4 linked regions of the Schizosaccharomyces pombe genome follow. The protein of the gene in region 3 purifies or fractionates together with the protein of the main gene of each other region. This does not show direct contact. Each region holds a gene or a part of one and is shown on either strand. Other genes may lie near its edges.

Region 1 (8,405 bases), on a different chromosome or scaffold from region 3:
AAAAATTTAATAAAAAGGAGGAATGAAAACAAAAAAATGTTCTACTCTACTAGTTTTAGTCTAGCTTTAGTAAAAAAAAAGAAAACATCCTCATTTCACTCATCTCGTTTCTTCTGTTCACACCGCCCTTGTTACCAACTCGCTCATTCCACTGGGTCCATCCTCTTGACTGCCTGTGCTCGGCTGGCTTGTGAAAAGGCAATGCTGGGTAAGTCCTGTGTGCTTCCATTAGGGATGTGTGGAGGTATTTTGATGATTGTGGGAGCGTAGCAGTTTGTTTTCAGTAGTGGATTTGTTTTTGTTTTTGTTTTGAGCAGCGGATTTGTTGTAAGCTGCGTTGTAATTTGTTTTTGTTTGCTCTGCTTCACCCTTGCGATTTGTTTTGTTGTAAATTCCGTCGTAATTTGTTTTGCCTTACTTCACGTTGCGTTTTGTTTTCCTTGCTCGTTGCTATTCCTTGTATGCTTCACGTTGCTATCCTTGCTTCCTTACTTTCGTTGCTTTCTTTGTTACTGTTTACCTTATTTATTTACTTTTACTTTCTTCGTTTCTTTTATTCCCCCCTCCCTTTATGTATTTCCTTATTTCTCCTTCCTTACCTTATTTACTAATTTTTATTTTCAATTTTATTTATTTATTTGTTTATTTATTTTTTTCATTGTTATTCCTTCGTTTCTCTTTTCCTCTTCTCACCCCACTTTTTAGCCTTTCTCCTTTGAACCTTCTTTCTCATTTATGCATTCATGCGTTGTTGTGCTTGAATGCTGCAATTTTTTCTTTTCTCGTGGGCGTGCATGGATTTTCCAAAGCTTAATCATTTTACCTTTACTCTACTATGCACATGACGTTGAATAAGAGTGGGGTAGCGGGGTTTTCTCCACCTAATTGGAAAGTTAAACATTTTGCGAAAGGCAGCTCTAGCAAATAAGGGGCTCGCTTTCATAACCTTGCCCGCTTACATACACCACCGTCTTCCCACAATTTGAATGGGTGAAATGGCGTTACGTTGTTGTTCTTCTTTCTCGACACCAGCTTTTGCCCTCTTTGGCGATAGTGAGGTGGCCTTACCCCAACTGTTCAACGCCAGTCTATCCATCCGTTATCATGAATGTTGTGAGCTAGGCTTGTTTAGAGTAGGTCTGGTAGAATCGGTATGATGAAATGAGCAAGATGACATATTCGAATCGAGCCTTTTTGAGTTGGTGTCGCTGATAAACGCAAAGGTAAAATGGTGTCGAGAAGATGCGGATTTTTGTTATTAATACAGGACGATTTCCTCTTTCAAACAAACAAGAGTCAAGTCAAGTCGAGCCAAGCCAAGCAAAGCAAAGCAAAAAGCAAAGTTTGAGCAAATCCACATCAAAGTCAAGTTAAATCAATTCAATTCAATTTTCGAGTTAAATAGTTCTTTGTCTATCAATCCAAGAACTTTCTCCCTTTTGAGTTTTTTTCTTTTTCAATTTTTTTAATTTTCTTATTCTTCAACTTTTTACTCTAAACTCTTTCTCTCTCGTTCTCCATTTCTTTTTTATATTCTTCTTTTTTTTTTCTTTTTATTCTTTTCTCTCTTGTCAACCCATCATTCATCATGTCGACTCCCCCTGCTAATGTCACTACCGCCCATGTGTTGGATTTGTTTAGCCTCAAGGGCAAGAACTGCGTCGTTTTTGGCGCCGCCAAAGGTATCGGTTTCAGCATCGCTACTGCCTTTGCTCAAGCCGGAGGTAATGTAATCATTACCTACCTCACCACCGATCCCACTGAAAAGGCCAAGAAACTGGCCGAGGAGACGGGTGTTCAAGTTCATACCCTCAAAATTGACATCTCTCGCTCTGATACCGTCGAGGCCGGCGTCGAGGAAATTCAAAAAATCTTTAAGGAGATTCATGTTGTCGTCGCCAACGCCGGTATGCCCTTCCGTAGGTCCGTTCTCGATTCTCCTCCTCATGAATTCGAAAAGGTTATGAACATTAACACCAATTCCGTCTATCGCGTTGCCTATTACATGGGGAAAATTTTCAAAAAGCAAGGTTTCGGAAATTTGATCGCAACTGCCTCCATGTCGGCTACTATCGTCAACGCTCCTCAACATATCGCTGCGTATTGTGCCTCCAAGGCTGCCGTTCGACAACTTTGCAAGGCTTTAGCCGTTGAATGGGCCGAATTTGCTCGTATCAACTCGGTCTCTCCCGGATACTTCGCTACGGACATGCCTGGCTATGAATTTTTAAAACAATGGGAACCCTATGTTCCCTTTAAACGTCTTGGTTTGACTCCCGAGTTACGTGGTACCTATCTCTATCTCGCCAGTAATGCTTCTTCCTTTGTTACTGGTTTGGATTTGATTGTCGATGGCGGTTATACTTGTCTTTAAGAAATGAATTGAGGCGAAAGAGAGAGAAATTTTCATTAGTTAAAGCTAGGCTAGCTAGTTTGCTATTCCTTTCATTTTCATTTCATCTCTTTCTTTTCTTTTCCTTTTTTTTTTTTCTTTTTACTCTCTACTTCTCAACTTAACTTTGCTTTACTTTTCTTTTCTTTACTTTACCTCTTTTCCTCCTCTTTCATAAATTTCTAGTTTTAACGTTTACCTTTTTTGGCCAGATTCCTTATGAAATGTGTGTGTGTCTAGAGCTCAATTACCTTTCTTTTCTTTTTTATATTCTTCCAATCAACTTTGTCAATTACTCCAAAAATTTAAAAAGTTTGGCACATACATAGTATCTTCTTACTTGGCCATTTTTTCCTATATTGCTTTCTTTGATTTTCCTTGGCTTTTCCCACTAAACTACTCGTATCACAGCGTTGCGTCGCGTCGGGTCAAGTCGCTTCGCTTTGCTTTGTTTGACAGGTATGGATAGTGGGAATTGCATATAGTCTTTTAGTGCCTAGTTGCGCTTTACACTACAAATTTTTTTTGTTTGCTTTTTCCTTACAAGTGATTCTCGTATTGTTTGTTTGGTTGTGACAGGGATTGATTGATTCGAAACAAGCTTTAGTATGGATCTTTGTATGTTTTTTTTCTTTTTTTTCTAAAGTTTTTACTTATCATGTCATGAATAACAAATAGTAACTGGCTCATTAGCTTATGCGAAAAAACATATGTAAATTCGTTTGTTAACATAAGACAAACGCCCTCAATCGAAGGATATCCTTATTAACAATCCTACAACAATTCTTAAACACTTTCCCCAATATCCAGTCCGTTTGTATATATTCCTTTATCTTTTTCTTGTTCTCTCTTTCTTTCTCTCCCTCTGTCTCTTTCTCTCTCTTTTAATTTCAATCTATCAATCCCCACCATCTACACCTATTTATTATAAAGGAGAACTAAAAAACAAAAGAGAGAAAGAACGAGGATTGAAGCAAGAACCGACATCTTTTCTTCGACTTGTTATCAAAACCTACACCACTGCATGGTGTTTAAAAGCTCTCCAGTATGGAAAAAAGAAAAAACCAAAAACAAAGAAGAAAAAACAAACTGTATATAAATTGTACATTAAAAAAAGACAATAATTGTTCTATTCCATATTCATTTTTGCAATTAGAGAAACATACTTTAAATAAAAAACAAATTTTTCCACGTCTACGTTTTCGCATTTCTATGAGGATATGTTAAGAATTTAGGCATGCATCTAAACCGAACCATTCAACACAGTGCCTTCAACAAAAATCGCTTTCATTTACATGAATTTCAAAGTATGTAAAAAAAAAAAAAAGTTAAAGCACATAGTAAAGGAATCCTTTTTGATATTTGATAAATCCTTGTTTCAAAGTATTACGCTCGAATAATAAAAAAAATTGAAAAAAAAAGGCAACTAAAGAGACAGTTTCGGTAAAATCCGTCCATTAGCTCCAAATTCCATGTATATTAATTAAAAAAAAAATTAATTACTTTTTTCATTCGTAAGTTATCACCCGTTAATCCATAGAGCCAAAGTCATGTCAATAGAAGAAACAAAAACGTCTATCAAGTGTGATGTTTAATGATTCGAGTAGCTGCGTCCTTAGCAACTTTTGGACGATTAGAAGAAGAAGAGGAAATAGCGGCGTTGGACGTATTTACCGCTTCTGTTTTGGGATTCACATTTTTTTCAGCTTGCTGGATTTTGCTAATGTAATTTTTAACACGCTGCAATTCTTGCATTACGGGTCGCTCACTAGCGTCTATTCCATTTAACTTATAAAAAGAATAGAGAGTAGAATTAATGGCATAGGACATGGTGATATATAACTTTGCTTGTTCCAATTCGGATTTTCCTTCAGCAAGTTCAAAAATTGATTCAGCATCCTTCAATGGTTTAAGAACATCTTCCACGTTATCTAATTGCTTATTTAATCTTTCAAACAGCTCAGAATACTCTGGGTCCATGTTTAACAGACAGAGAGACAGGCTGTGGATATATGCGAATTCTACCTTCTGTCCTCAATTCCAAAATGTAGAAAAACGTCGAAAGCAGGTATGTAACACAATATACCGTGCCCTTGGCTAATTTATCCTCAAATTTTTTGTATATCAGCTACGCAGTTTGGTATCTGCTTTAACAATACATTGAATTGCGATGAGTTTCTCATTCGTCCTATTATTATTGCAATACGCAGGTGATATAAGTAGCAACTGAGTGTAGGTATTGTACTATCAAGTTGTATTGTTATTTATTGCAAATACAACTTATAATTGTGTAAGGAATGAGGTTTAGCAGTAACTCTATTTACGTTGTTTAGATGATTTGGATTTTAATAGATTATTGTTAAAATTAATATCAACATCGTATCATCTGCGGTGCGATATGTAAATGGAACATGTGAACATATAGTGACGTGTGACGCAATACAGTATAGCATAGTATATTGTTGTGTTGTTGACAATTTGAACTTTAGTTTACCATGTTTAACGGAATATTAAAAATACGATGTAACTCACTATTCGCTTAAAAGTTAGTTCTAATTTTTCAAGGCTACACTTGTTCGCTTGACTCAAAAAGTCGATTCGCCTCTTGAAATATCTTTAGAAAAAAAGAAAAGAAAACTCGCCGTCAACAGAGAGTTCACCCATGCATGAAGAAAATGTAAAGTTATGAATACGGAAAATATGCGTTTAGCGCTTACAAAAATTCGTTAACGTTAAGGCCTATGTGAGCAACATTATCACTAAACATAATATATATTAACATCTCTGATTTGGCTAGGAGGAAGTATGACATTTACAAGTGGGCCATTTTTTTATTGTGGTTTGTTATTTATATGAGGATTCAGATGTTTGCATTCATACTTAAGTAACGCAGTTCGAAAGCATTTTCTTTTTTTGTGAATATCAAAGCGTACTTCCTTAAAACTTTTTACTCATTATCTTACTAAGCCAAATTTTCCCCAAAGCTAGAGGAAAGCTATCATGCAAGTTAACTTGTTAATTAGCAAAAACTACAGTGACTAAGGGACTCGTCATGTACTAACTAGCAAGGTTATTTTTGTACTATATCGTGCAATAACGATGCCTTGATAGAAATATTTTATGAGCTCTACCGCTGGTACTTTACCTGGTTTAAAGAAGTATGGTTATTGGTTGATTACCGTATTCCGCAAAAAAATTTTAACGATCAATCATTTTTGCAGCAAATTGCGCCATCATTTGGTGATTGATGTATGCAGTCATATAAAGTGTAGGCAAGACCTCAAACGCTCATCAAGCGAAAAGAACAAGGAAGGAGGTCGGATAACGGGTTGTTGTAATACGTAAAGAGGATTTAAAGCGATATTCGGAAGTACAAAATTTATTTATTGTTTTCATTATCGTTGAAAATCTTTATTCAATTTACCGAGGTTTAACGACCACTGCACAATTGTCTTTCTCTACAAGTTAATCAATCAGTTTAATAGTGTTGCAATCAATTGCTCGATTGCTTCGTAGAAAGAATTAAAATTTGTAACTTAAGCTAAAGGCTAAATTGTTGGTTTATGAGATATTTCTTTCCTTTCTTTCCCGCATTTTTGCGTAGAACAACAAAGTCTGGTTTTTGCAGTACTTCAGCCAGCAGCTCTTCTTCTCCACCAAGACAATCCAAAACGAAGTGACTAAAATTGTGAAAAATTGAAGTGAAAATATATATATTGGAAAATAAGATTGACGCAATATTTGGAGATTAAAAAAAAATTTTGGGCAAAAACCTATTCTCTACCAAGTACACCTGAGTTAACCTATTAGAAACTACTACAATGATTGTTTCCTGGTCCTTGAAAGACGCCGTTGTTGTAGTCGTTGGTTCAGGAAAAAATGCTTACCGACGGGTGAATTTATGTTTAAGTGAAAATTCTTCTAAAATTTTTTGGTTTTGTCGCAGCTCCGCTGATGGTGGATTTGACGTTGGTCATCTTCAGCTTGACGCAAAAAAATCGGATGCTATTGAAATTCTTCCCATTTCTGAATTTGATCCCGTTCGTTCATTAACGACGCTGGGAAAGGAGGAGACAGATTTTTTGGTGGATGCTGTTTTCGTGTCAGAGTCCAACCACCATGAAAAGGAAATTTTACATCGTACGTGCAAAAGGTACCGAATCCCATTAAACATCATTGATAATCCTTCTTTGTGCTCCTTTACTCTACCAGCTACGTGGTCAGAACCACCTCTTCAAATTTCTTTAAGTACTTCATCAAATGGTTGTCGTTTAGCTCAAAGGCTGTTGAGACACGTGGTGAGTAGCCTTCCTTCCGGTATGCCAGAAGCCATTGAGCGTTTTGGCCGAGTGCGAGCGATCACTAAAACTCCAGAAAAAAAACAGTGGATCAATCATGTTAGTGATTTTTGGCCCCTCGAGAAGTTGGTTCGGATGACAGAGGACGATCTTCTTGCCATAGTTTCTGACAACTTCTCTCTTCCACTCTCATCAAGCCAATCTTCTTCACTTGCCAACTCCTATGAAAGTTTATCAACCACCTTGGACAAGCCTTCATTGACGCTTGACCCTGAGGCTTTTCCTACTCATAAGCGAGGTTCAATAGCTTTAATTGGAAGTGGACCTGGCTCTCCTGATTTACTTACTGTTGCTGCCAGAAAGGCTATAATGAAAGCCGATTATGTACTAGCCGACAAGCTGGTACCAGAAGCGGTATTACAGTTAATTCCAAGGCATACTCCACTATTTATTGCTAGAAAATTTCCTGGAAATGCGGATAAGGCACAAGATGAACTTCACCAGGTTGCTTTTGATGCTTTATCTAGAGGTGATTATGTTGTCCGTTTGAAGCAAGGTGATCCTTATATTTATGGGCGAGGCGGTGAAGAGTATCTATTCTTTACACAACACGGTTATGTACCAACGGTTATTCCTGGCATCAGTAGTGCTTTGATGGCCCCTATCTCTGCTGGTATTCCCGTTACACATCGTGGAGTGGCCGATCAATTTCTTGTGTGTACTGGAACTGGTCAAAAGGGTTCGATGCCTAAAATACCTTCTTTTGTCCCTACACAGACCACAGTTTTCCTAATGGCTTTACACCGACTAGAAATTCTTGTGCAAGCACTAATTGAAAGCGGTTGGCCTAGAGTGTTACCGGTTTGTATAGCTGAGCGCGTCTCTTGCCCTGATCAAAGGTTCATTTTCTCTACTTTGGAAGACGTTGTGGAAGAATACAACAAGTACGAGTCTCTCCCCCCTGGTTTGCTGATTACTGGATACAGTTGTAATACCCTTCGCAACACCGCGTAACTATCTATATGAATTATTTTCCCTTTATTATATGTAGTAGGTTCGTCTTTAATCTTCCTTTAGCAAGTCTTTTACTGTTTTCGACCTCAATGTTCATGTTCTTAGGTTGTTTTGGATAATATGCGGTCAGTTTAATCTTCGTTGTTTCTTCTTAAAATATTTATTCATGGTTTAATTTTTGGTTTGTACTTGTTCAGGGGCCAGTTCATTATTTACTCTGTTTGTATACAGCAGTTCTTTTATTTTTAGTATGATTTTAATTTAAAACAATTCTAATGGTCAGTGGAAAGATATTTTGGCTTGATATTTGTGTACTATACTCATCTGTATTACTAGCAACTGCTAAATAAAGATACACAATCATAACCTGTTATTTTAAATGTAAGGATAGATGAACAAATAGATAGAATCAACATATCAGTTTTGTATTAGAACATTTTGATACACGTTTCATGATTCATTTATCCAATATAGTTTTAGTAGAATGATATTCATTTTAGTAGATAATCTAAAAAAGCAAATATTAAACTGCATCAGCCGGGAGTCGAACCCGGAGCTAATGCTTGGAAGGCATTGATGTTACCGCTACACCACTGATGCATTTATTATTTAGAGGTTAAAGAATATGTTATATATTGTTACAAAAGCAGTGTCTTAAGAATGTGTATAATTCTGAAGAAATTTTTTGTTGTTTTGAATAA
Region 2 (9,959 bases), on a different chromosome or scaffold from region 3:
ACAGATTTTCAAAATTCACCTTCCCCTTAAACATCAACCTGGCATTTGGGTTTTTACGGGATTTCATCTACTATTTTTAAAATGTTTTTATTGCAACGGTTTTTCATTTATGGGTTGTTTCTAGCATGTTTTTATACAACGGTGTTTGGAGAAAAACATTTTGAAGCGGAGGAATATAGAGACTCCTTTTTATCGCAGGAAAATATGAATAAAATTAATCATACAACTATAGAAAGGTTGTTCCGAGAAATGACAGAAAACGATCCCTCTTTGCTTTCTTCCTCAAAAACTCTGGCTGAACTTAGTAAGGGAGAACTTGCTAAAGCACGCGAAGATTTGAAGAGCGTCTTAAGTTTTTTGAAGAATAATCTGCCTGTTGATACTGAATCATCGTCAGAGGCTTTTACTATAGAGAAAGACAACAATTCTTGCGTTTGGTTGAATTCAGTTAAAAGCTTTGTAGAGAAGCAGTTCTCTTACTCCTCGGGAACGAATGGAATTCTCGCGACTTTCTTAACAGCAATACCACCTAACATTTTTATTCTTCTTGTTCCCAAGTCGTTCGACACGAGTATGTTAAATCTGTTCGTGGCAGTTTCTGCAGGTAGTTTATTAGGCGATGTTTTTCTACAATTACTTCCTACTGTGTATTCGACAAATGGAGGAGATTTTCCAGCATCTTCTGTTTATTCAATCCTTATTGGAGCCCTAGTATTCTTTCTAATGGATAAGGGAATCCGCATTTTAATACATGAGCGTCCGTCTTCGCTCTCTAAGCCAAAGAAAGACGGTGAAGAGACTTCAAGTGTAAACAAACCTTCTGCTTCTTCAACTCAAACTGACGTTAAAGGAGTGGAAGGATTGCGGAAACGAAATGTCAAAGATGATCAGAACTCTAAAGGTCACGAGCCTGATTTGATTAGACATGTAGTTGAAGAAGTTAGTGAAGAGTATAACGACAAAACTGTGGTATATTTAAATTTGTTATGTGATTCATTTCATAATTTTATGGACGGTTTGGCGATCACTTCCGCCTTCTTTACCAATACCTCCATTGGCATATCCACCACATTTGCTGTTCTATTACACGAAATTCCAGCAGAAATTGGTGACTTGGCTATACTTCTGAGAAATGGGTATACGAAATCGCAAGTACTCGTGTTGCAAATGATCACTATGGTGACGGGATTATTGGGAGCAATTGTCGCTACATATATATACACTGCTTCATCTTCATCTTCACCATATGGTTCTTTCCTTCTACAACTTGAGGATAAACTCCTTCCTTTCACGGCTGGTGGTTTCCTTTATATAGCTTACCTAGGCGTATTTCCCGAGCTTTTGGAAATCAACTTATCAAAAGGAAAGCTGGGAAATATGATTTACACGGCATTGTACATGATGTTTATTGTTGGAGGTTTTTCTTTTTTATATTATGTTTAAAGTGACAGATAACTTACATTAGGGCGTGGTATGGAGTTGATATTGTACTATTCTAGAAATATAAATCGGGACTAATATTTTTTGTCCTTCATTTTTTCTGGCATTGTGCTTTGTCTTTACATTTAATATTAAAAAATTACACATTTATGAAGATGTGTAGAAACATTATTTTAGTTCTTTTATTAACTTGTTAATTATTATGGTAGAATTAAGTTGTTCACATTCACATAAGGCGCTTTCGTGTTCAAACTTGTAATTTTTGATCCCTCTTATTTCAAAATTTACGCGCTTTAAATCGTTTAAGAGTATTTTTATTTCTTTTCCATAACCTGTTTCTATTCTAGCTGACAGAAAAGATTGTAAACAATCGGCATTGAGAGTAAACAAATAATGCCAATTTAAAATAACATTCAATGTTTTTGCTTTTCATAAGCGAAAACACGTTTTGACCAAACCTGACAAGACTAAAACTATATGGAATATTATTATTATAAGGGTAAAGGAAACGAGTAAGAATTCAAGGGCAATAAACAAAACATCCTAACTTTTTTACCGTTGTTTCTATCACCATCCTAATGTTTTGAGTTTTCATCATTGTAACATTCCTATGTCAAACAGTGGATGAAAACACTTGTTACCCAAGTCACAACTACTAACTGTTTTACAGTACTGTTTTTAAGTTACTCGTTACTTATATGTAAACAATACAGTTGCTAGATATGGTAGTAAAAAGTATATAGGGTATAAGGGAAAATATATTTCATTACTTCAAATCGATAAAGATTTTGAACCAAAGAATATATAAGCACCCACTTTTTGAAAAAAATTTGTAAAAAAAGTCGAGCAAATATATATATATGATGGTATCACGTAACCTCGTTATATATCATAAAATTAGATGGTAATTGGTCAAGGATGCAACCTCGCATTAGAAAGTGATGAGATGGATCGTTCATAAAAACAATCCAACCACTACCTACTAAATTGAGGAGACCTCAAACCATTTTCGTCCGTTCATCGGTAAAGAAATCATCCCGATGCTTTGGTGGATTGAGTTTCACCAGCCAAAAGCATGAATTTTAAGTCATAAGAACCTCTTTACAACTTGTCATCAACAAAGCGTTGAGCCTTGTCATGAGCCTCTTGAGAGGTGCTCTTGTCCTCGTCAGAGGTAAAAGCAGAGGCGACCTTGTCGTAGGCACCAGTAATGGATTCCTTGGCCTTGTCGAGGGTAGACTTGGAGGAGTCAGGAGTCATTTTCTCCTTGCCTTGTTCAGTAAAAGACTTTCTTGCGGGATCAGACATTTTGAATATTTAAGACAATTAAATTGATTGGAATTGAATTGAATGATTAAACTGTTGAACTTGGACTCGTATTTATAGCTTCTTGTCCAATTGCTCATGTCATTATGATCGCAGCCCATTACATCACATTTGCGTCAGTTAGCATTAGAAACTGGAGAAAACTGCGATCCAAGGAATTACGTAGTTTTCTATCAGATAGCTCGCTATCCAATCAGACAAATAATGAGCAGCTTCTAGCAAAGCCCCTTTTCTTCGCACCATTCGTTTTCTGAGCTACGTAAGCTATTTCCAATGAGCGCCCACTCTACTTTCTTATGATGTAATACAGAAGCTTTGTGGATTTGCAAAGCGAGATAGCGAGTACGGTAAAACCCTCGCTAGGTTAGAGGTTCAAAGTGGAGAGAAGCGAAGTGGTGGTACTAGTTCAAAGAGAGAGAGAGAGAGAAAGAGAGGAAGAAGGGGAAGTGCATCTTGTCTTTAGAGTGAGTATCCCTTAGGAAACAAACTTATTTCTGTAAATAAATTTTAAGAAGTTTTCTTTGTCTTTTAAAATTCCGAAGTATTCTTTGCATGATGGTGTTGTTATTGGGTGATGAAATTTTGATCTAAATAGGGGAACTTCACTTGTTGAAAAAAAAAACAATTAGAGCAAAAACAATAACACTTTGCAAAACGTTATTTAAAAGATAACCACAACCATGTTCAAAGTGAGTATGGCTTAGTAGAGGCAATCTCATTCAGGTATTACACACACTGCGCACAATAACACAATTGTTTCAACGCCGCACGTATTGCATGCGATACATCGTGAAATTCCGTTATAAGCAGGGAATATTACGAGATGCTGCAAACTGCGGATTACACAACTACGCAATAGAGAGTTGGTAAACCATTATTTTGTTAGACGAACTGCAATGATGGTTTTGTTAAATCAATAATAAGGAGAAGTAAGGTGTAGCTAAAGACCATTTATAATCTTTTAGGAAGCGTAACCCAAGGTGTGTAACCCGAAGTAGAGAAGAAAAGATGATACGTGAGAAATGTGAGATGAGAACATGAGCAAAAGTAGGAATGGCTCGACGTTTTTTGGTTTCTTTTTTTTTTTTTTTAAATTGATTTTATTTTATTTATTTTTAACTTTATAGAAATTTTTTTATTTTTTTTCTTATTTTATTTAATTTATTTATTCATTACAGCATTTCGAGATGGTTTCAATATTTTGTTTCTCTTTATTAATTTTTTTTTTTTTAAAACAAAGAAAGAAAGTGAAAGAATAAAATAAACTGGCCATCTTCTATTATACCCATTCTCAACAAAAACTCTTTTGAATGTAGTCCAATCACCAAAGCAAAAAAAAGTAAATTCAACTCAATCGTTCTTCCTTTTCTTTTATTTACTCGTTTTTTTTTAGGGATTTCGCTTCATACTCGTTTTTTCTTTTTAATATTCATTCCATTTTCTTTTCTTGAATAATTCGTTTACTCCTTTATTATTATTATTTTTTTTTTTTTTTAAATTTCATTCATCTTTGTATTTTATCTCTCCGTTTCACTTCTTTTCGTTCATTGTTATGGTATTCCTTTCCACAACTCCTTCACTTATATACTTCTTGTTTGCCTTTTTCTTTTCGCTTGTTTCAGTCCACTAATCATCAACTTGAATCTGTTTGCTTACTTGTATACATACCAAAACCTTTCTCATTCGAGTATGTCTATCATACCACCCAATTTTCCATCTGACTATATACAGTATATCTGATTCGCTTAATCCATCCTAACTTCTCGTCATCCACCTTCCAATTTAACATTTTACGCATACATGCTAATGAGCTTTTGAGCAATTGATTTGCATTTTGTATATTATTATAGACTTATTTAATGAGTAATTTTTTTGTCTCGATCCATCATTTTCATTTAGAAATATGTCTAGGTTGTCTCAGTTGTTAAACTCCAAAAAAGCAAAACAAAAACCTCCGTCTGAACATCCCATCGGTCTTTCTTCTATCCTAAAACAAGACTCCTCTTCAAGTTCTGATTCTCCCAACTTTTTTCCATCCTCCAGCACAAATGACCATCAAGAACGTGACACAATTAACGACACTAACTTTGTAGTTCCAGGTACGCCATTATAATTAGTCACAAAAAGTGGAGAACTAGAAATTAACATTCATAGAGAAACAAAAAACATCCAAGCTCGCATTACTCGCCGCTGAACGGAAAAAATTGCATTCTTCTTTTCCATCCACTCAACAGCAGCCGCCTAAAACCGAAAAGGAAAAGGAAAAAGAGCCTATTCAAGCTAAACATAAGAAAAACGTTGAAAATGATTTTTTGTTGCAAAGGTTTCGAAAGGTTCGCATTGCAGAGAAGAAAGACTCTGAACAACCATCGTCTCATGAAATTCATCTTACTGACGATGATGATAAAACCACACTCCAAAAACAAATGGTGGAAAGCGACCAACTGAAGAAGAACCCCCAAGAGGTAAAATTAGCTCCTCCTTCCTCATTTGCGAAATGTCTTACAGGCGCAAAGAAGCGCGTTTTTGAGGACCAAATTGAGATTCATCTAAGCAAAAGTTCACTTTTAGGATTTAACGCCCCTAGCCCTGACGACATAGTTTTGATGGCTCAATCTAAATCTAAAAGTATGCTTTGTCTCCTTCAATTCATCTTTTCCTTTTTTTTTCGCGCTAATTGTTAAACAGGTTTCCAAAAACACAAACGTTTGGACGAGCAATTGCTAAACTCTGTAAAGTCAATGAAGAAAGTTTCTCAACAATTGAAACCTCAAAAAAATACTAATGATTCAAATAATGATCACACCTTACTTTCCCAAGATCAGTTAATTGAACTTTCCAAATTAGTAAAGCCTCGAACGAAACTCTTGTTGTTGGGCCCGCCCAAGTCTGGTAAAAAAACACTCCTTTCTAGATTATTTTTTCAAATTGGATCATTTGATCCCAAAACCATGCAAAAATGTACAGTACTGAATGCCAAAAAAGAAAGTTTGAGCTCAGTGCTAAAGTCCACCAAAACGAAATGGTATGATTTTGAAACATTTTCCAACAGTTACTCCTCAACTATTATTGATTTTCCTTTAGGAATCTTCACTACTAATGCAAGTTCTCGAGATAATTTTCTAAAACATTCAAGTTTGTTTCAAGTAATGAACACAGCCATTTTCACCATTGATTGTCTGAATCCTTTGGAAGGTCTTGATGGAATATCTTCCATTTTACAATTGATGAATGGCTTATCTATTTCAAGCTATATGTTTGCTATCACTAAGATGGATGAAATTGAGTGGGATGAAAATAAATTCATTAATCTTGTTAACTCGATTCAGAGCTTTCTGAAAGAAAGTTGCGGAATAATTGAGAAATCAAAATTCATTCCGATAAGCGGACTAAAAGGAACCAATCTTACATCCATTAGTCAAGAAAAATTATCCCAGTGGTATAAATCTGATACATTGCTTGGCAAAATTGATAAAGAAGCAGATACAAATCATGGCACATGGAATTTTCTTCTTAATCTACCTCTCTCTTTAACAATTTCACACATTACTCCTTTGCCAGAAAATCAATCACATATTTACTGTAGCATCCATTCAGGCATGCTTCAGGATTCGCAAAAGCTTTATGTAGGCACAGGGAGATTAGAAACACAAATCACAGGTACGGAAGGTGTTCAATTATTTTATGTTAATCAAAAAAGGACTGAGCAGTGATGAAAATCCCAAAGGGTTTAATGTTGCTGGGGATATGATTCAAGCCAAAATCCCTACATTACCCAATTTATGGTAAGTTCTTTGCAATTCTTGTATTTCTAATAAATAGTCCTGGGATTTTAATTGCTGATAGTATCGATGCCTTTACTTCTTCGAAAACTGCTTACGTTAATGCAACTTGGTTTCACGGTTCTCTTGAAAAAGGAAAGTCGATGCATGTAATAGCCCTATTCGGCTGTCACGCAGTCCTTACCAAACTGTATTGCTTTACAGACAGTCAAGAAAAAGCTCCTAACGCAATCGGAAACGATCTTGAAAGAAATCGAACCTCACTTGTGAAAATTGAATTAGAGAATGCTTTCCCTCTCGTAAAAGAAAGCTACATTAACACCTTAAGCCGCGTTTTATTCGTTTCAGAAAAATGGAATAGCTTAATTGCGTTTGGAACAGTACTATCTCTGCATGACTGAATCCCTAACTTACGTATTATACTCAACTCCATATTAATTTTGCATTCGAAAAAATTTTCCGTCCTTTTTAAAGAAATTCTCTATAGATTGTTTTAAATATTGTAAAACTACCGATGTTGTTCATTTGCGTACATCTCAGGCATCGTGACATTTGGAAACAATTTGTTCTCGAGTAAATTTCCTGAGCAAAAAAAAGGAATGTGCTGTGTTAAGAATAATTTATCTTTTTTTCTTTTGAATCGTTGGCACATCAGTCTAATAACAGTAACTACTTATTCTTGATATTTTCCAAATTCGAATATAATTAGGGAAATACAAGGGAATATCTGTATATCGGATAGTTGTAAGCTACGCAGTTTGGTATCTGATTTAAGGATACGTAGAACTGTGGTGAGTTTTCCTTGTGATCTATTATATTACAATACACAGGTTATATAAGTAGCAACTGAGTATAGGTATTGTATTAACTGGGTTATAATGTTACCTATCACTAATATAGCTCATAACTGAACTGAGGAACGAGGTTCAGCAGTAGCTCTATTTATAGTATTCAGATAATATAGATCTTAATAGATTATCATTAAGATCAATCTCCATATCGTATCATACATGGTACGATATATAATTAGAACATGTGACATATAGTGATACGCAACGTAGTGTATCATAGCGTAGTGTAGTACTGCTGACAATAGTGTGCAAGAATAATTTAGAAAATTTGCGTAACTTAACGAGATGTTGCACGCCACCATTATAAGACTAGAATCATGTTGGATCACTTTATTTCATAACCACCATATAAAAATGGCAAGTCATTTGGCAAGTATTTATGGTACTGAGCAAGATAAAGTCAATTGCTCATTCTATTATAAAATAGGAGCTTGTAGACATGGGGAACGCTGCTCTCGTAAACATGTCAAACCAAATTTTAGTCAAACGATCTTATGTCCCAACATGTATAAAAACCCAATTCATGAACCAAATGGCAAAAAGTTCACGCAGCGTGAACTTGCAGAACAATTTGATGCATTCTACGAGGACATGTTTTGTGAGTTTTCAAAATACGGTGAAGTTGAACAATTAGTCGTCTGTGACAATGTTGGAGATCACTTAGTCGGAAATGTTTATGTAAGATTCAAGTATGAAGAGTCTGCCCAAAATGCTATTGATGATTTAAATTCCCGATGGTATTCCCAAAGACCAGTCTACGCCGAGTTATCTCCTGTAACTGATTTTCGCGAGGCATGTTGCCGGCAACACGAAACTTCGGAATGTCAGCGGGGTGGCCTTTGTAATTTTATGCATGCCAAAAAACCAAGTCCTCAGCTTTTACGCGATTTGGTACTAGCACAAAGAAAGTATTTGGCCTTAAATGCAGCAGAAGAAATGAAAAAGGAGCCCAATAGTGATTCCACGAATCGATGGGTCAGTGTAACTGCTGAACGCAAAAATTAAATAGCAACTTATGGAATGTATTTGTTTTGGATTCTGGTTTGCTTTTGTACGGTTTTACTTCGTTTATTATGATTAATCTCTGGCTATAGTTTGTTGTGATTTAGGTTATTTAAATAGATGTTGCATTCTTTTATTGTTTACTAATAAACTTGATCTTTGTACAACTGTACTCATAGACGTTTTAAATTTTGTGTCCAATGTGCCTATGGCTGATTACAAGCTAAAGGAGATCGATTAGAAACATATGAAACGATCAAACATTTCGCAAAACTTGCACAGCAATTCTTAAAAACGAAGGTGTTATTGGTAGAAGCTGTGTACGATATAAGAAAAAAAAAACAAAAAAAAATAAATAGAACCCGTATTTAAGCCAAAATTGTTCAGTTGTTGTATGTTACGAAAAAATAAGTTTCAAAAATTAAAAAAATTAAAACTGCTGAATATAACATTTATATGTCTTAATTACTTTTTTGGTTTTGACGGCGAGCACGGACAGCTTCAGCAAGATCGTCTAGCATTGGAGCAGTTTGTTCCCAGCTAACACAAGCATCAGTGATACTGACACCGTACTTGAGAGTATCCTTAACGCCAGGACGGATTGGAGCATCTTGACGACCTTCATTGATATGAGATTCAATCATAACACCAACAATGGAAGAGTCGCCATTTCTGATTTGTTCGGCGATGCTCTTGGAGACCTTTGGTTGGTTCAAATGATTCTTGCTTGAGTTGCCATGAGAGCAATCGATCATGATACGAGGAGGAAGGTTGGCCTTCTCAAGATCTTTGCGAACGGCGGCAACGTGCTCAGCATCATAGTTAGGACCCTTCTTACCACCACGCAAAATGATGAAGGTATCCTTGTTGCCCCTGGTCATGGTAATAGCGGCGAGACCTTGTTTAGTAACTCCTAGCATTGTGTGAGGATGGGCGGTAGCACCAATGGCATCAATCGCCACACCAACAGTACCATCAGTACCATTCTTGAAACCAACAGGGAAGGAAAGGGCAGAAGCCAATTCACGATGTAATTGAGACTCGGTAGTACGAGCACCGATAGCACCAAAACTGAGTAAGTCGGCGAAGAATTGGGGAGAAATGTTGTCCAACATCTCACTGGCCAAAGGAATGCCAAAATTGGTAACGTCGCAATACATTTGACGAGCCATCCTAATACCCTTGTTGATAGCAAAAGAACCATCCAAGTTAGGGTCGTTGACCAAACCCTTCCATCCGATAGTAGTACGGGGCTTCTCCAAATAACAACGCATGACAACGCACAAAGCATCCTGAAGCTCGTCAGCTTTGGGCTTCAGCAACTTAGCATAGTCCATGGCCAATTTAGGGTCATGAATGGAGCAAGGACCGACAACAACGATAATTCTGTCATCTTGTTTGTTGAGAATAGCTTGAATCTCCTTTCTGGAGTCAGTGATGACTTTGCGAGAAGTTTCAGAAACAGGAATCTCTTGTTGAACCAAAGCGGCAGGAACCAAAGGGTTGTAACCTAAGACACGGTTGTCATCAAGATGCTCTTGATCGTAAGTTTCACCGC
Region 3 (7,883 bases):
CACTTTAGTCTGATTACTGGAAAGTTTGTGAATTCAACCCCGATGCGACATTTAGACGTTACTCTTGAGACTGCCGATGCAAAGAATAATGACTCGTCCTCAGCCTCTATAGAAAAGCGTGGCATGAGAAGTCTTGCAGTGAACGGGGTTTACTCTCCAGCAGCGGCGTTTCTTCAGTCAAAATCTTGGTCGGGACTTGACAGTGTAGATGAAGGAGAAGGTCCTAGTAAATTATACGAAGGACAGAGTGGCATCGCCAAAGGATATGTTGGTGAAGGCAGCAAAGAAAAGATTCAACGTGATTTTGGTAAATAAATCGGGTATTGAGTTGATCATTCTTCCTATGCTTGTGTTTTAGAGTTTGACAAAAAAAAGTTTACTGGTTAAAGGAGATAAACAGGGTTCATAAGTTATATAAAAAAAATTTCCTACAGCATTTGAAAATCAATTAGCTTTATGACTATAGTATTTTATATTACAGCAAGATCAATATTACGTTTCAAGCATTAAAAACGAACTTGAATATTTTCAAACTTTCAAAATTTATACACCTTGATAACCCAAAAATTTGTTAGAACTTAGACCTTGCAACCTCAATACACTTTTTTAATAAAAGGGGTTGAATGTGAGTGCCTCCAAGCTTTATTATCTTAACAATATTTTTGGAGCTATTAAGCATAATTGTCAAAAATTCAGTTGAAAGGTCCTCCTCCTCGTCTGTAGGGTCGGCTAACAACTTGTCGTCAAATACTGACCATGAGAAAGAACGAACTTCAGTACTTAATTGAACTGGTCTTGTAAGGGTAGAAGCACAGATAACCCTCTCTAAATCTTCATCCCAAACAGCAGTTGGTAATTTAACAGTTTTTAAAGCGGCAAACAAAGCTGCCCATGCATAATCGAAGGCACTTCCATCATAATTTAAACAAATAATATCAGCATACAATACCCAGGCTGCTTTTTTTTCAAAAATGCATAGGGACTGTAAATTAATCAAGTTAGATCTGTATAAGTTGTTAGTAAAAGTAACTAAATATTCTAAATGATAGTTTAACAATAAATGAAACGTATGGTAGAAAATTAGAAAAATTCCAATAATTTGATACATACTGTTGCAAAGTCTGATGCAATTCCTGCGAGACAACTTGCGCCAAGTCAGAAGGAGGGCCAGGTTTAAATTTGCTACTGCAAAGAGGTGATAATTCAAGATTGGGAACAATCCAACCTTCATTGGGAGAGTTTTCAAAAGGTTCAGCAATTTCTGCTTTTATTCCACACACAAAGACATTTTCGCCAGCTCGAATGATAGCACTACCATTAGCAGTAGATATGCAATTATCATTAATTACAATTTCTCTGAATTCTGATACAGACCGCCCATCTGATCGAACATCCTGATTAAGAAGATGTGATAAATACTGCTCAGGCGTGATTTTCTTAAAAATTCTATCCAGTAAAATGTTAGTACTGTAACAAAGAAAAACAAAGTGAAAAGGAAACAGAGCACTAAAAAAGATAGAATAAGAAATCAAAGAGCAACTTACGAAGGTGTAAATGAAAGCTGTTTTACCCCCGAAACAGTTTTCATGATGTGAAAAGAATGTAGTGTTTCAATAACGAAGCTAAATGATATAGTAACGTAGAAAGACCAAATAACTGAAGAACGATACTGAAAAATATATAAAATGAATATGAATCACAAGAATTCGATATATGTGCTGAATTTTGTCTACAGGTTGAAATTATGAAATGGAGTAGAGGGATGAAATAGGTGTACGAAGTAAAGTATGAAAAACTTATATGGTAAATAAAAGGTTTGTGAGGTCCTTAAAATGTTTAAATTCCTTGGTTTTTTTTTAATTTATTGAAGGTATATTCGGTGCAAATTTCAATTAAGGATTGATAATTCATTTGAATTTTAGCTACAAAATCCCAATTCGTTTAAACGATTTTGAAAAAAGAGATCACATAATTAACATTTAAAAATGCTAATTCGAAAAAAATTTATTTAAGGCCTTTTCTACTGATTTTTTTTTTTTTAAAAAAAGGTAAAATAACAAAATTTACAATGATCCATGGTTAAAGAAAATAAGGCATAATTAAACAATTAAAAGTCAGCAGAATACATACGGAATTTGGTAAGTAGCATAATATATAGCTCTTAAATTAAAGTAAGTTATTTGGGTGCATGTTTATATTTCAAAATTTGCACACTCTTAGTTTATCGGTTGTTAGACGAAGCAAAAGTCTTATATTAATAAAAAAAAGGAAAAGTTTTTTTCTATTAGATTATAGTTAAAGGAAATTAAAAAAAAAAGTCAGTAAACACACTTAATATCGCGCCAGGTACAATGACCTTTCCTTAACCTCTAGCCTACGAACACAACAGCCGGATGCTAAACCTTCTGAGGAAATGATGCTATGAATGATTCTGAGGAAGAATTAGAGCAGCAAGGAAGTCAAGAGGATATTTCCTCTTCTCAGGATACTTCGGATGAAAAAGAAATGCGAAAGCAAGATGCTCTATACGCACAGCTAATAGAGTATCGAGAAATTGTTTCCGAACTGAGAAGATCTGAGATGAAAAATTTGTGTATTCAACTTTATTGCAGTTATAAAGCTGGTATAACTCGTCGAAATGAATTGCAAAGCGATTTGGACGGTTATGAACGAAGGATTCCACCACGTCTACGTGCAGTATGGCCTACAATTCATTCCATCCCCGATGAATCATTTTTTGATGGAACCTCGGCTTCGAGGTTTCGCCAAGAGGCTGCATATTTGGCTGTGCGTTTAGCATCAAAAAAATTACACAAGTTGGGTAGAATGGCTTCTTCTGAGGAACTGCCTAATCCGGATGGCCTCCGATACTTGGTTGAAAGGTTACAGATAAAATTGGAACGCCTTTTTGATTCGGTTGATACTTTTCGACAAGAACAGGGAAGCAAAAGCATGCAATCACGTGTAAAGCCTATGGATTGGAAGATTCTTTACGGACTTGCTCGAGTCACAAACGGTTCGTTTTCCTCGTCGCAAAAAGCAGACGTTCTTGCATTGGGCAATGGTACAAGAGCTTGTCAATCATTATTCAAAGAGATGTCGTTACAACCTAGTATTGATATTGAAAAAGTTTCACACTCTAACCCAGAAATCTCGATAGAATTTGAGGATTAAGAAATTGGTGGGAAATTTAATAAGTATGAGTATTTTGAAAAAAAACACGCATCTGTGAACAGGTCAATCTGCGTAAGTCTCAACAATTAATGTTCCAGTAAACATCTTTTGGCTGATGTATATGTTTAATTATTTGTGTAACTCCCGCCGTATTTGCACATATAGTTTTTCTGCATCCGAATTTCTTTTCTTTTTTTTTAAGTTATTTTGTTTTTGCGTTGATCTAGGAAAAAGGTTCTACGCAACAAGAATATTGTTTCAACTTTATCATGCTTACAAGTTCATCCTACACTTTAAACTGGAAGTGGCAAGTATTTGCTGAGGTTAAATCTTTACTGTTATGATACTGTTTTCCAATATATCTAAGTTACACAGTTTTACTAAATTGTATAAGCTATTTAACAGTCTATGCAAAGCTGATGGTGTGTTCGTTTAAAATAAGGGCGGCACGTGGTACTGTAACTTGAAGTCCGATGTAGAAAAAATGTGGAGATTAAGTGATAACAAATACTACGGAAATAGTAAAAAAGTCATAGAGAAGCGAAGAACGAACAGTTGCCGGATGGCAACCCAGTTACAATAGACTATCGATTACAAAAGTTAGCGAAATATTGGGAGCGGCTCCTTGGTAAACGCTGTGAAAGGAACCTATCCAAAGCAAACCACAATTGGCAGGAAATTTTTTTTGAAGTAAACAACGTTTGGTTAAAACTTTGAAAATAGGCCAATTTCAAAAAAACAACGAGTTGTCTTTATGTCGTTTGTAGATGGAGTCAACAGTTGGTTTTCGGCCGCTTCTTATTGGGATGGGCTCGGTCCAACAAATGTTGTTCAGCCAGAGGACGATTTGGCTTTTGTAAGTCAATTTGAAGAAGTTGAATCGGCTTATGACAATCTCGTAAAAAATGGTATGATTGCACCTCGTCGAAAAAATAGTTTTGCCTCCTCAGTGAACAACCCCTTTTCGACGAGTGCATTGAGCGAAGCCTTAAATGGCAGTGTTTCAATGAGTCATGTTCCCAGCTCTGGTTTGTTAAAAAGCACACTTTCGAGCACCCCTACTGCAGGCTCTAATCTGCTGGGTACGTCTCCTGCTGAACCGGCAAGTGGTTTGGTCGGTTCTAGTGGTTTTGGTTCCAGCATGCTCGGAAGCTCGTTACCAGGTAATGCTACTTCCAATTTCGGTTCACAAGCTAGTACCTCATTACTACATCCCAGGAGATCCACAACGTCTTTGCTCTCTAGTAGTGCTCATCATTCACGTTCTTCGTATTATGATCTTGCTACTCCGACACGCTCCTCCTTTTCTTACAATACTGTCGGTGCTGCTAGTTTACCATCTGGTGGGCTTTCTAATCTCTCCTCTTCATTGCGTTCTTCTTCAAAATCGGCTGGGTTTTCGTTGTTTGAATCTGCTTCAAATAGCTTTACGCCCTCTTCTTTCATAGAGTCCGCTAACATGGAATCTTTATCGATTCCTTCTCGTCGTCGACCTTCATCGATAGCTCCGATCGGTACGCGTCCTTCTCGTAAAGAGATCGCATTCAGTAATAGTTCTACTCCTACTGACCAAACGCTGAGGCCTCCAAATCCACCGGCTGCCAATGGAAATGCCACACCAGTTACAGCAGTGAACAATGTTTCTGCTGTTGCTGATTCTCCGCAGTCCACTGGCTCTTCTGTTTCTTCTTCACTACCAACACTAAGTTTGGACTTCAAGCAAGAATACAGCGGGAACAATCATGATATGTCTGGATTGTCTTCCTCTCTATCTAAATCTCATAACTCAACTTCTGCTTTAAGTTCTCAGATTTGGTCTTCTCCCTGTGCCAGTACTCTTGGAGGTGTCAACGTGTGGTAATTGCTACATTTTCTTGATGCGGAACTTTCTTGGACACGGAATAGTATTTTATTTATAGGTTGAGCTTTGAAGGTTGTGATCTATTACTTTATAATTTTAATTCTTTTGCATTTGTGGGCATTCTGTTGTTTTAAAGCGCTCATTGGAAACTTATTCGAATAAGATAAGGAAATCTAATATTGGTGCTGATGATTTCTATCCTAATATTGTGAGCATAAGATATTTCTTTATTTTCTAAAAATGGAAAACAGAAAAATTGTAACTTTTTTGTTAAATAAGTTGCCGGCAATTTTTTAATTCGCTTTCACTTTTATGTTTTTTAAAAGTGTTTCACGAATTGTCGACGTTGCTTAAAGGTATGGTTTTTTTTCCTAAGAACTTTTGAGTGTGGGAAGGGTTTTTGCTTGGTTGAATAGTTTGTTTTGTGAGAAGGTTCTGGATTGAAGAAAATGTCAAGTTACTTGACTATTACTTTCGGCACATAGGTTTATGGTGATAAATCTTTGCATTTTCTTGACAAAAGAGAGGACAGTGGTTAAAAATGGGAGAGTTAGATATTTCTATTGGTATTTAGTTTGAACTATCAAAGTTAGGGGATTCTTATCGTACATGGGTATACTACTCTTGAGTGCATCGCATGCTTCTTGTCACAGCAAACGGCATGGTCAATCGCATTTGAGTCTAGGTTGTTGGTTTTTATGATATTACGTCTGTGCAGAAGTTTTGTCTTTCACAGGCCATCGTGCTCTTTATCTGGATTTATTTCAGGGGGGTGAATCAACAGCATAAAGATGTAAATATTTTTTTAAAATTTTAAGTAGCCAAATTTCAAAATCAATTTTATTTTACTTGATAAACTAGATTTGGTTAGAAATTATTTTTTTTATTAATAATTTATAGTATTTAATTCACATATATAAAGCAAACCTGGACTTCATTGTACTCTTTCATGTTAATTAGTGATGATTTAAGTTAATGAATAGTAACATTTATTGGCCGTTATTTCGCTCGCATAAAGTTGGTACAAATTACTACCGATTCGGAAGCGTTGTTCGCTATATGTGAGAAATTTAAAAGGTGAACATTATATAAAGAAAATTAGAATACAAATAATAGATATGGTGAAGATTCTTAAAAAAAAAAAATTAAGAGTAGTCAGTAATCGTGAATGTAGTAATGCTAGTTAATTGACATTCTAGGAGGTAAAAAAAAAAGTATCCGTCTCCCATACATCCGTAACTAAATTACACGAGATAGCAAATCTATAGACAATTTGGAAATTGATTAGGTTCGCCTCTATTGCTTAACCGCGATAGGCACTTAACCTTGTTCAATTAATATTTTTAGAATATGTCTGATAGTAAACTCGAGAGAGACAACATTATTCGAACATTGTAAAAAACTTCCAAATTTATACTAATAAACCTTACTTAGTTAAATATCAAGCCAGAAAACCCATGACTCTTGAAATTCTTTAGTTGGTTTTAGCTAAATTAATGAAACACAAATTTAATTAAAAAACATAAATAAATCAATTTTATACTCGATTACTTCTACTTCAAGTATCAGGTTACACACATCGAACGCAATGGCAATCATTTCAAAACAGCTTTGTAGATTTTAAAAGATTAAGTAGAAAGTCTTGCGACTTCTAATCATATAAATCCATACCTCTTAATTATGCAATTTCCAATGGTAATATATATTCTAATATGCAGTTAGCTTCCTACTCCTAAAAGCGCTTTGGACCCTTATGTATTTCTTTAACCGATGTTAATAATACATTGGCAATATTTAATAGCAGATGATCAAAAAGGATTCTGCATTTATAAGTTAATCCATGATACATACAGACAACAGTCTTTTCTAAAACGGAATAATGGGGCGCAACCATTACTTCACTGCTTCTAGCTTATTTCTCAAAACACAACCCAATCTCTGTCCAATCTAATTATGTTAATAAATTTCGTAATTAGTAAAAAACCAATTGACAGGATGCTTCCAATTATTTAGACAGATAATAATTTTTTGAAACAATAAATTTAATTAATAACGAAACACACTCACTGCCTCTGTTTACCTAGCTTGTTAGCGGCTTTTTAAAACAATATACTGTGGTAAAGATTTTAATGACCTATATATAATCTTATTAGATATTCTTATCACAAAAAGTAACTATTATCCTTCTAGTAATATAATGAAACAACTACAATCAAACAAAAAACAGCCAGCTGGATATATTTTTTTAATGAAAATATAAAGAATGATTTTTTTTAATCTATAATTATTTAAATTTTGTGAGCATTATCTTTCGTACTACAAGACCAATTTGTTAGTAACAAAAAAAATCTGGGATACAATAGCTTACATAGCGCGAAAAGAACGTAATGCAATTTTGTTTTAGGATTTTAATATTGTATATATCGTTAAGCATAGATAACAATTACTTGGTTACTACGTTAATATCTCTGAAGGAAAATGTTTTTTTGCATATTTTTACTCTAACCTTTCTCTTCAAAGCTTTCCTTTTAAAAATGGCGAAACGATCAGTGGAAGAGTTAAAAAGATCGGCGGATGAAGAAGCTTCTGTTAAGCGAAAGGAGAAGAAATCAAAGCATGAGCATAAGAAGCATAAAAAAGATAAGCCCTCTGCCGACAAGGATAGAATTTCAAAAAAGGATAAAAAGAAATCAAAGAAAGGAAAATCAAAAACTAAAGAAGAATCGATAGAAATCAATGCGGAAGAGGGAGCAAAAATCGCACAACCCGCGATCGGCTCAGCTAACGCTTCTAATCATAATGATGAAGAAGCGTATGACCGTTACATTAAGAAGCATAATATTTCTTT
Region 4 (6,336 bases), on a different chromosome or scaffold from region 3:
TAGAGGATAGGATAGAAGGAAAAAAAGTTGCTAAAGTAGATGCATCGGGATTATGGAAATTGTATACTAGAGATGGAAAACAAGAGCCAAACGCAACGGCAATCTCTTTGGCAGATATGCTAGCTGATTTTCAAAACGTTCCAGAAGGTGATGTTTACAAATACGATTTAGTTCTACAAATTCGATTCTTAAACCGTGCGTTGCTGAGACAAAGTTCTTCATTATTGAGAAATAACGGATTTCTCTTCTTGTGTACATTTGTCAACGATGGGGTGCATCAGTATGAACATCCTAGAGGAAGTGATCATAGATTCGAAAAAGGAGAAGCGGCAGCAATAGTTTCAGAGTCGGATGGACGAATTAGGGTTTTAAAAGATGAGATTGGATTTATCGAAGACGGCCGTCCAGTGCAAATTTTGCTTGCTCAAAAGGTAGAGTAGGGAGAGGAAAAAACATTTAGAAGGTTTATTGAAAAAATTATTTGCTTTATTAAAAGTTTGATTGTAACAAGGGAGTTTTATTGATCTGGTTTGAAGTGTGCGTATGTAATAATTTGTTGATGAGACATAATATGACTAGGAAATGACTTGGTTGTATTGAGGAAATATTGTTTACAACATAAACATTACTAAGAAGCAAGTGGGAATAACTAGATTGTGTCTCTAACACTTTTGTAGATGAAATGAATACTATGACTAAGAAACAAGTCAAGCAGATTTATCTGCTTCTAAGCTAATGAAGCATCTGGGTTATAAATTGTGGAAGTGTGAACCGGCACTTTGTATACAATGAGATTGCGATGATTTGTGTAGACGAATGTGTGTCGGTGATTTTCAAACAAACAAACGAATTAGTACCAATTTACGAGTCCCATTTGTCTCTGCATGCACACCTGGAAAAAATGTCCTAAACTTGTACTACCAAAGTGACTATTTTGGTTGCGAAAAAAGTGTTGATCATCTATAAGTTGGGAGCTCCCCTACACTATCGATTCAATCTATGGCGACAAACAAATGGAAGATGAGTAAAAAGTAGTTGTGTTCGCAACGTATTTGTCCTCGGAATATGCGGATATTTTGATCCAATGTTTTTGCATCGCTACTTTTATGTGTTTCATTTTGTACCACTACAATTCGAGTTTTTAAACCAGTTTCAATTCCATCCTTCCTAACCATGTTTTCTTACCACTAACTCTACAGATGCTTGCACTCAGCGATCACTCGCATCCCCCCACTCACACATTCTCCCTTTCTACTTCCTCTCCTCTTGTTAGTGGACTTTTCTTTCTACTTTGCACGCTCGCTTACAATTCCATGTACCACGCCCATCCTCCTAATCTCCATATATCAGCATCATGTACCGTGCTCCTCCTTCGTCTCCCACGTGATCCATAGATAACGAACATCATAGATAAGCCGGTAAGACTATTTAAGTGCAGTGGAACAGCAGGCACACTAATCCTTAAGATTTGACCAAGTTGGTTCAGGTTGGTATAGTCTTATTTAGAGTGCGTGTGTACGTAAGAAAAGAACGCAGAGTGCGGGATCTAGACATTAAACACCTCAGTTCTCCGCTGTTTAACCAATCTTACTAAACCTAAGTTCAACTATCGCTGTTACAATCGTTGCCTTTTTGTTCATTCAGAAAAGCATAAAAAGCGAAGAATATCCTGCTTTCCCCACATCTCCATCACATTCTTTGTTGTACTCAACTCGAGATTTCTAAATAGTTGTACAGCGGTTTTTTTGTGTGTTTGTGTGTGCGATTTGCTTTTGTTTGACAGAAAGCCTTTATTCAAGATATCAACTATACCAGAACTCAAGCACGAAGGTTCTGTAAAATAATCAATCGATCGTCTCATCCTCTCAACGACTTGTATTCATCATGACTCTTAGTGGAAAACCTGCAGCTTTACTCGTTGGCACTTTGAAGCACGCTCATAAGGAGTGGGAAGCTCTTGGAAAATATGCAGAGTTGAAGGTAAAGAAATAGAGAAGGGAGGGAAGAAGGGACAGTAGTGGGAGATGGAGGTTGAAGGATGAGCAGAGGATATGGAACTAAAAAATTCAAGAGTGATTGCTTGTTTGTTGTTCTGTTGCTTCTTCTCCCTCGTCCTCTGCTTCTGCGATTCTGTTGGATTTCTTGGCTATCTAGCGGATCTCCTAGCTTCCCGACAAAACCTCAACATATGCGCTTAGTTGTGTTTACCTGTTCTTGTTTACTAATGTCGTTTTAGACCTACAGCGATGGCACTCGCGAAGACTTCTTGGCCAAATGCAAAACCGAGTTTCAAAATGTAAAGGCCATCTGTCGTACTTACAACTCCAAGTTTTACATGGGCATTTTTGACAAGGAAATCATTGATAATTTGCCCCCATCCGTCAAGTTTATCTGCCATTTGGGTGCTGGTTATGAAACTGTTGATGTGGCTGCTTGTACCGCTCGTGGTATTCAAGTCTCCCACGTTCCCAAGGCTGTCGACGATGCAACCGCCGACGTTGGTATCTTCTTAATGTTAGGTGCCCTTCGTGGATTTAACCAAGGTATCTTTGAGTTACACAAGAACAACTGGAATGCAAATTGCAAACCCTCTCATGATCCCGAGGGTAAAACGCTTGGTATTTTGGGTTTGGGCGGTATTGGTAAGACCATGGCCAAGCGTGCTCGCGCCTTTGACATGAAAATCGTATATCACAATCGTACTCCCCTTCCCGAGGAAGAAGCTGAAGGTGCCGAGTTTGTCTCATTTGACGATCTTTTAGCCAAGTCAGATGTGCTTTCCCTCAATTTGCCCTTGAATGCTCACACCCGGCATATCATTGGAAAACCAGAATTTCAAAAGATGAAGCGTGGAATTGTCATCGTCAACACTGCACGTGGTGCCGTTATGGATGAAGCTGCTCTCGTCGAAGCTCTCGACGAAGGCATCGTTTACTCTGCCGGTCTTGACGTATTTGAAGAAGAGCCCAAAATTCATCCTGGTCTTTTGGAGAACGAAAAGGTGATTCTTCTTCCTCATTTAGGTACAAACAGTCTTGAGACCCAATACAAAATGGAATGCGCTGTTCTCATGAACGTCAAAAATGGAATTGTCAATGATTCGTAAGTCCTTATGTTTTTCCCCTTTCTTTCAATTTCTAACTTTTTTTCTAGACTTCCCAATTTGGTTCCTGAACAACGTGGTGATATAGAGTAGATTATGTTTTTCTGTCTACTTACCTCGGCTTTACGTAAATCGACTTAAATGTTTTTATATGCTTATGTTATACGGTCGTTCAAATATTGATTCATTCGTCTCAAATTATGGTCTATTCATGACTATTTTCATTATATAGTAAATACATATTTCTACTGTTCTTTCTCATTCTTTCTCCCTAGCAGATTTCGTAAAACGACAACGATGAACTACTGCTGTAGTTTCAAACTCTTACATTTACATCTTAATAGCAAAAAAGCATCGTTGATATGTAGCGGTTCTCTTTTTTTCTCCAGGTTTAATAATACACAGTTAGAAAGGACCATGATAATAATTCAGAAAATTTTAATTAATATTTACAGTACCCAAAAATGCTTCACATCCCTTATTCATACAATGAACGTCCAGTCAAATTGAAAAAAAAAATGAGCAACTCTTAGTTGCGTTTTTTCTTCTTTTTGTTTTTATTTTTCTTTGTTTTTCGGGCATTGGACTCTTTGGGGGAATGTAGAGAAATGACATCTTGAGACAACTCATTAACTTTCCTCTTTTTGGATTCCTTTGCCGGGGCCTTCACCTCCATTTTACGGGATGCCTCCGCCTTTTTAGACACTAATTCTTGTTTACGACGTTCTCTTTCTGTAAGCTCCGATGTGTCCGTTATTTTAGTACCGTTTACATCAACCTCTTCATTCTTAGAAACATCTTTTTCATCCACATTTTCCTCTCCTAGTTCCTTATTAAATAATCCAAAGCTAGCTCTTCCTTGTACTAAATTAGGTTCATTTGAATGACTTTCAAGATCGTTTTCTTCAATCAGACCCCCATAACCCGATTCATATTCTACATTACGAGTCATCTTTTGGGGTAAAAAATCAACTTTTCCTGCAAGACTCCAATGCTCATCTGTAACAATGTTCTTGCTTAACTCTTCTTCTGCTTGCTTCGGGTCAATGCCTCGAGCGCGTTGCATAAACTACAAAATACAGGTTAGTAGAAATTTTTCTTAAAAATTTGACTAAATTTCGTACTTTCATAGAAAGAAGTTTAGACGACATTTTAAAATAAATATCTTATCATAAAAAAAAACAATTGTTTTACTATTGCTTACAAAATCTATGAAAAAGAGACTTTGCAGCTAGCAGAAGAGTAGGTCTCGTCACACTTGTTTGGATAGCGAGAAAAACCGCAGTGCCAGAATGCAAAACTGAAATTAAGATGAGAATATAAAATCAGTAAATTTGAGAATCGGATTAGGGAAAAAAAACTAATTAAATAATAAAGACCTATCGATTTCATCAAAGGGTTTAAGTGGGAAAGCCGCTTTACTCAATGTCATGCTTTCCTTGAACATGTTGCCATTTTCAATGATAGTAACATTGGGAATTTCGTAAACTTCATCTTCACAGCGTTGAGAAACAACATGCACAGATATTTTTTTAGTATTTTCTCCTTCATAATGAATGTTGTTTATGAAGAAACTGTAAAACTCATCCTTGGTAATGGTAGACACAATTTCTGCTTGCTTTTCCAATCTGGTAAAGTCATAAAATCCATCACAAATACGTAACCAATACATAGAAGATTCCTCTTTTAAGTTTGTATGCTTTTCGAGCATAAAGTTAATCAAGCTTGATTTGTGCTTACTGAAATCCTCGTCGGACATTTCTAAAAATTCGCTTTTGAATTGATCCAACAAGGCACGAATTCTGGACTCTAAGTATGTACTACTTCTCTCACTTTGCACAAAAATATTCAAATTTATAAAAGGCGTGACTTGACGAACTAAAGTAAAAACAATATAACCAAGTTGTTCTTTAGTACGCAAGATGGAGAAAGTGGGTTCCTTCATTATTTGCCGTGCTAGTCGAGTTAGGGCTCCAGATCTTTCATCGTCAAGCTGGCTGATTTGAAGATTATACATAATAGCAGAATTTTTCTCTTCCTTGTTTGGCACCACAGTTTTGTAAATATAATTACCACCTTCAGGAACTATTATAGCCCTTTTACGGCTCAACTGGGATGCAAAGACTGGTTTTGGGTCAATCAGTTTTTGAGCGGATTCAATAAGATTTTTGGCATCTTCCTCGGTATAGTTTCCATGTACCAAAGATTCTAAAAAGTTTTGTTTTAATAAATCACTAATAAAATCAGACATATCGCCCACCTGGACATCTTTAATAGCTTCACGTAACTCAGCATTTGACCACGAATGCGGTTCGCTCAACCATGTGAGTACATGGTTTGAACGATGATATGCTTCCAAAGCATCATAATCTTTAAGTTCTTGTTCCAAGCGATTCTTTAATATTTCAAATCTTTGCGGATGAACTTTGAGATCACGCATCATTGCGACTACTTTTTCCAAAAGTACATGTAATTTATCAGTAAACCCTGAAATACAAAGTATTATGCCACGAGTAGATGGTGAAAGTGAAAAGGAAAGACCAGCTAAGCTAGCAGGATAAGAATATTCTCCTAGAGCATCTTCTATTAATCGCGTGTAAAGTGTCGTCGACACAGAAACTTTGGGAGACCTCCTGGCGATTGGAGATATGAAATTTATGAAAACGTTAGCTTTAGGTACCCAAAAAGTGTCATCCTTTTTATGCCATAATCTTACAAATTTGTCATTTCGCACCAAATTCGGCACTTTCAGTTTCGTCGTTACTGGCTGCTTTTCAACTTCTAAAGACCAAGGAATGAATTCATTTGCCAAAGGCAAGTAAAGTTCACTGGATGTCTTAATATGTAGCAAAGAGTCTATAAACTGAGAATCCAAATCCTCCAATCCGTAATCTATGCCATAGAACTTCTCTTTATTATCAAGTCCTTTCTCAATTGAATGAGCAGCTAAAATGGCAAAAAAGTTATTAGGACGAAGACTCTCAACAACCTCCTGAATACCTTTAGGGTCAAATTCAGTGAGTACTGAGGAATAATAAAGGACTTTATCACGAGGATATTCTCGTTGAAGCTTGCTAGCAACAACATGCGCATACTGGTAAGCAGGGGTTTTTTGTCTCGTTTTAAATTGAGCCTCTGACATGATACGGGTTTCTTCAAATAAAAACTTGTGAGCATTTGTCTGGTCGAGCAATCTTATATATTCAAATAAAATTTTAATAACCCTCTGGTAA

What was found.
Region 1: the proteins of rrp43 (region 3) and cti1 purify together in Schizosaccharomyces pombe (affinity purification with mass spectrometry, with the first as the bait; one study listed by BioGRID). This does not show direct contact.
Region 2: the proteins of rrp43 (region 3) and ski7 purify together in Schizosaccharomyces pombe (affinity purification with mass spectrometry, with the first as the bait; one study listed by BioGRID). This does not show direct contact.
Region 4: the proteins of rrp43 (region 3) and mpp6 purify together in Schizosaccharomyces pombe (affinity purification with mass spectrometry, with the first as the bait; one study listed by BioGRID). This does not show direct contact.

What each region holds. Positions count from the first base shown.
Region 1 is NC_003421.2:2,037,251-2,045,655, reverse strand, and holds cti1 (Cut3-interacting exosome subunit Cti1), read right to left. Parts: upstream 4,416-8,405; 5' UTR 4,373-4,415; coding exon 3,971-4,372; 3' UTR 2,945-3,970; downstream 1-2,944. Other genes in the region: SPOM_SPCC1739.08C (dehydrogenase), read left to right, coding at 1,589-2,374; met1 (uroporphyrin methyltransferase), read left to right, coding at 6,214-7,704.
Region 2 is NC_003424.3:5,317,858-5,327,816, forward strand, and holds ski7 (ski complex-interacting GTPase), read left to right. Parts: upstream 1-4,523; 5' UTR 4,524-4,669; coding exon 4,670-4,865; intron 4,866-4,920; coding exon 4,921-5,394; intron 5,395-5,454; coding exon 5,455-6,426; intron 6,427-6,466; coding exon 6,467-6,551; intron 6,552-6,588; coding exon 6,589-6,949; 3' UTR 6,950-7,218; downstream 7,219-9,959. Other genes in the region: zip3 (ZIP zinc transporter 1), read left to right, coding at 82-1,443; plasma membrane heat shock protein Hsp9, read right to left, coding at 2,542-2,748; U2 auxiliary factor small subunit Uaf2, read left to right, coding at 7,754-8,404; SPOM_SPAP8A3.07C (phospho-2-dehydro-3-deoxyheptonate aldolase), read right to left, coding at 8,863-9,959.
Region 3 is NC_003423.3:3,331,182-3,339,064, forward strand, and holds rrp43 (exosome subunit Rrp43), read right to left. Parts: upstream 1,765-7,883; 5' UTR 1,589-1,764; coding exon 1,545-1,588; exon of another isoform or gene 1,447-1,544; coding exon 1,111-1,446; intron 1,005-1,110; coding exon 572-1,004; 3' UTR 501-571; downstream 1-500. Other genes in the region: dph2 (diphthamide biosynthesis protein), read left to right, coding at 1-315; RNA polymerase I upstream activation factor complex subunit Acr1, read left to right, coding at 2,422-3,174; protein rhs1, read left to right, coding at 3,929-5,035; putative ATP-dependent RNA helicase Dbp3, read left to right, coding at 7,570-7,883. UniProt on the Schizosaccharomyces pombe protein: Non-catalytic component of the RNA exosome complex which has 3'->5' exoribonuclease activity and participates in a multitude of cellular RNA processing and degradation events.
Region 4 is NC_003424.3:2,888,076-2,894,411, reverse strand, and holds mpp6 (nuclear exosome-associated RNA binding protein Mpp6), read right to left. Parts: upstream 4,337-6,336; 5' UTR 4,255-4,336; coding exon 4,228-4,254; intron 4,192-4,227; exon of another isoform or gene 4,173-4,191; coding exon 3,633-4,172; 3' UTR 3,525-3,632; downstream 1-3,524. Other genes in the region: SPOM_SPACUNK4.09 (uncharacterized protein), read left to right, coding at 1-440; SPOM_SPACUNK4.20 (uncharacterized protein), read right to left, coding at 1,637-1,861; gor1 (glyoxylate reductase), read left to right, coding at 1,885-1,980, 2,237-3,102, 3,154-3,196; iph1 (metallopeptidase), read right to left, coding at 4,464-6,336. UniProt on the Schizosaccharomyces pombe protein: RNA-binding protein that associates with the RNA exosome complex.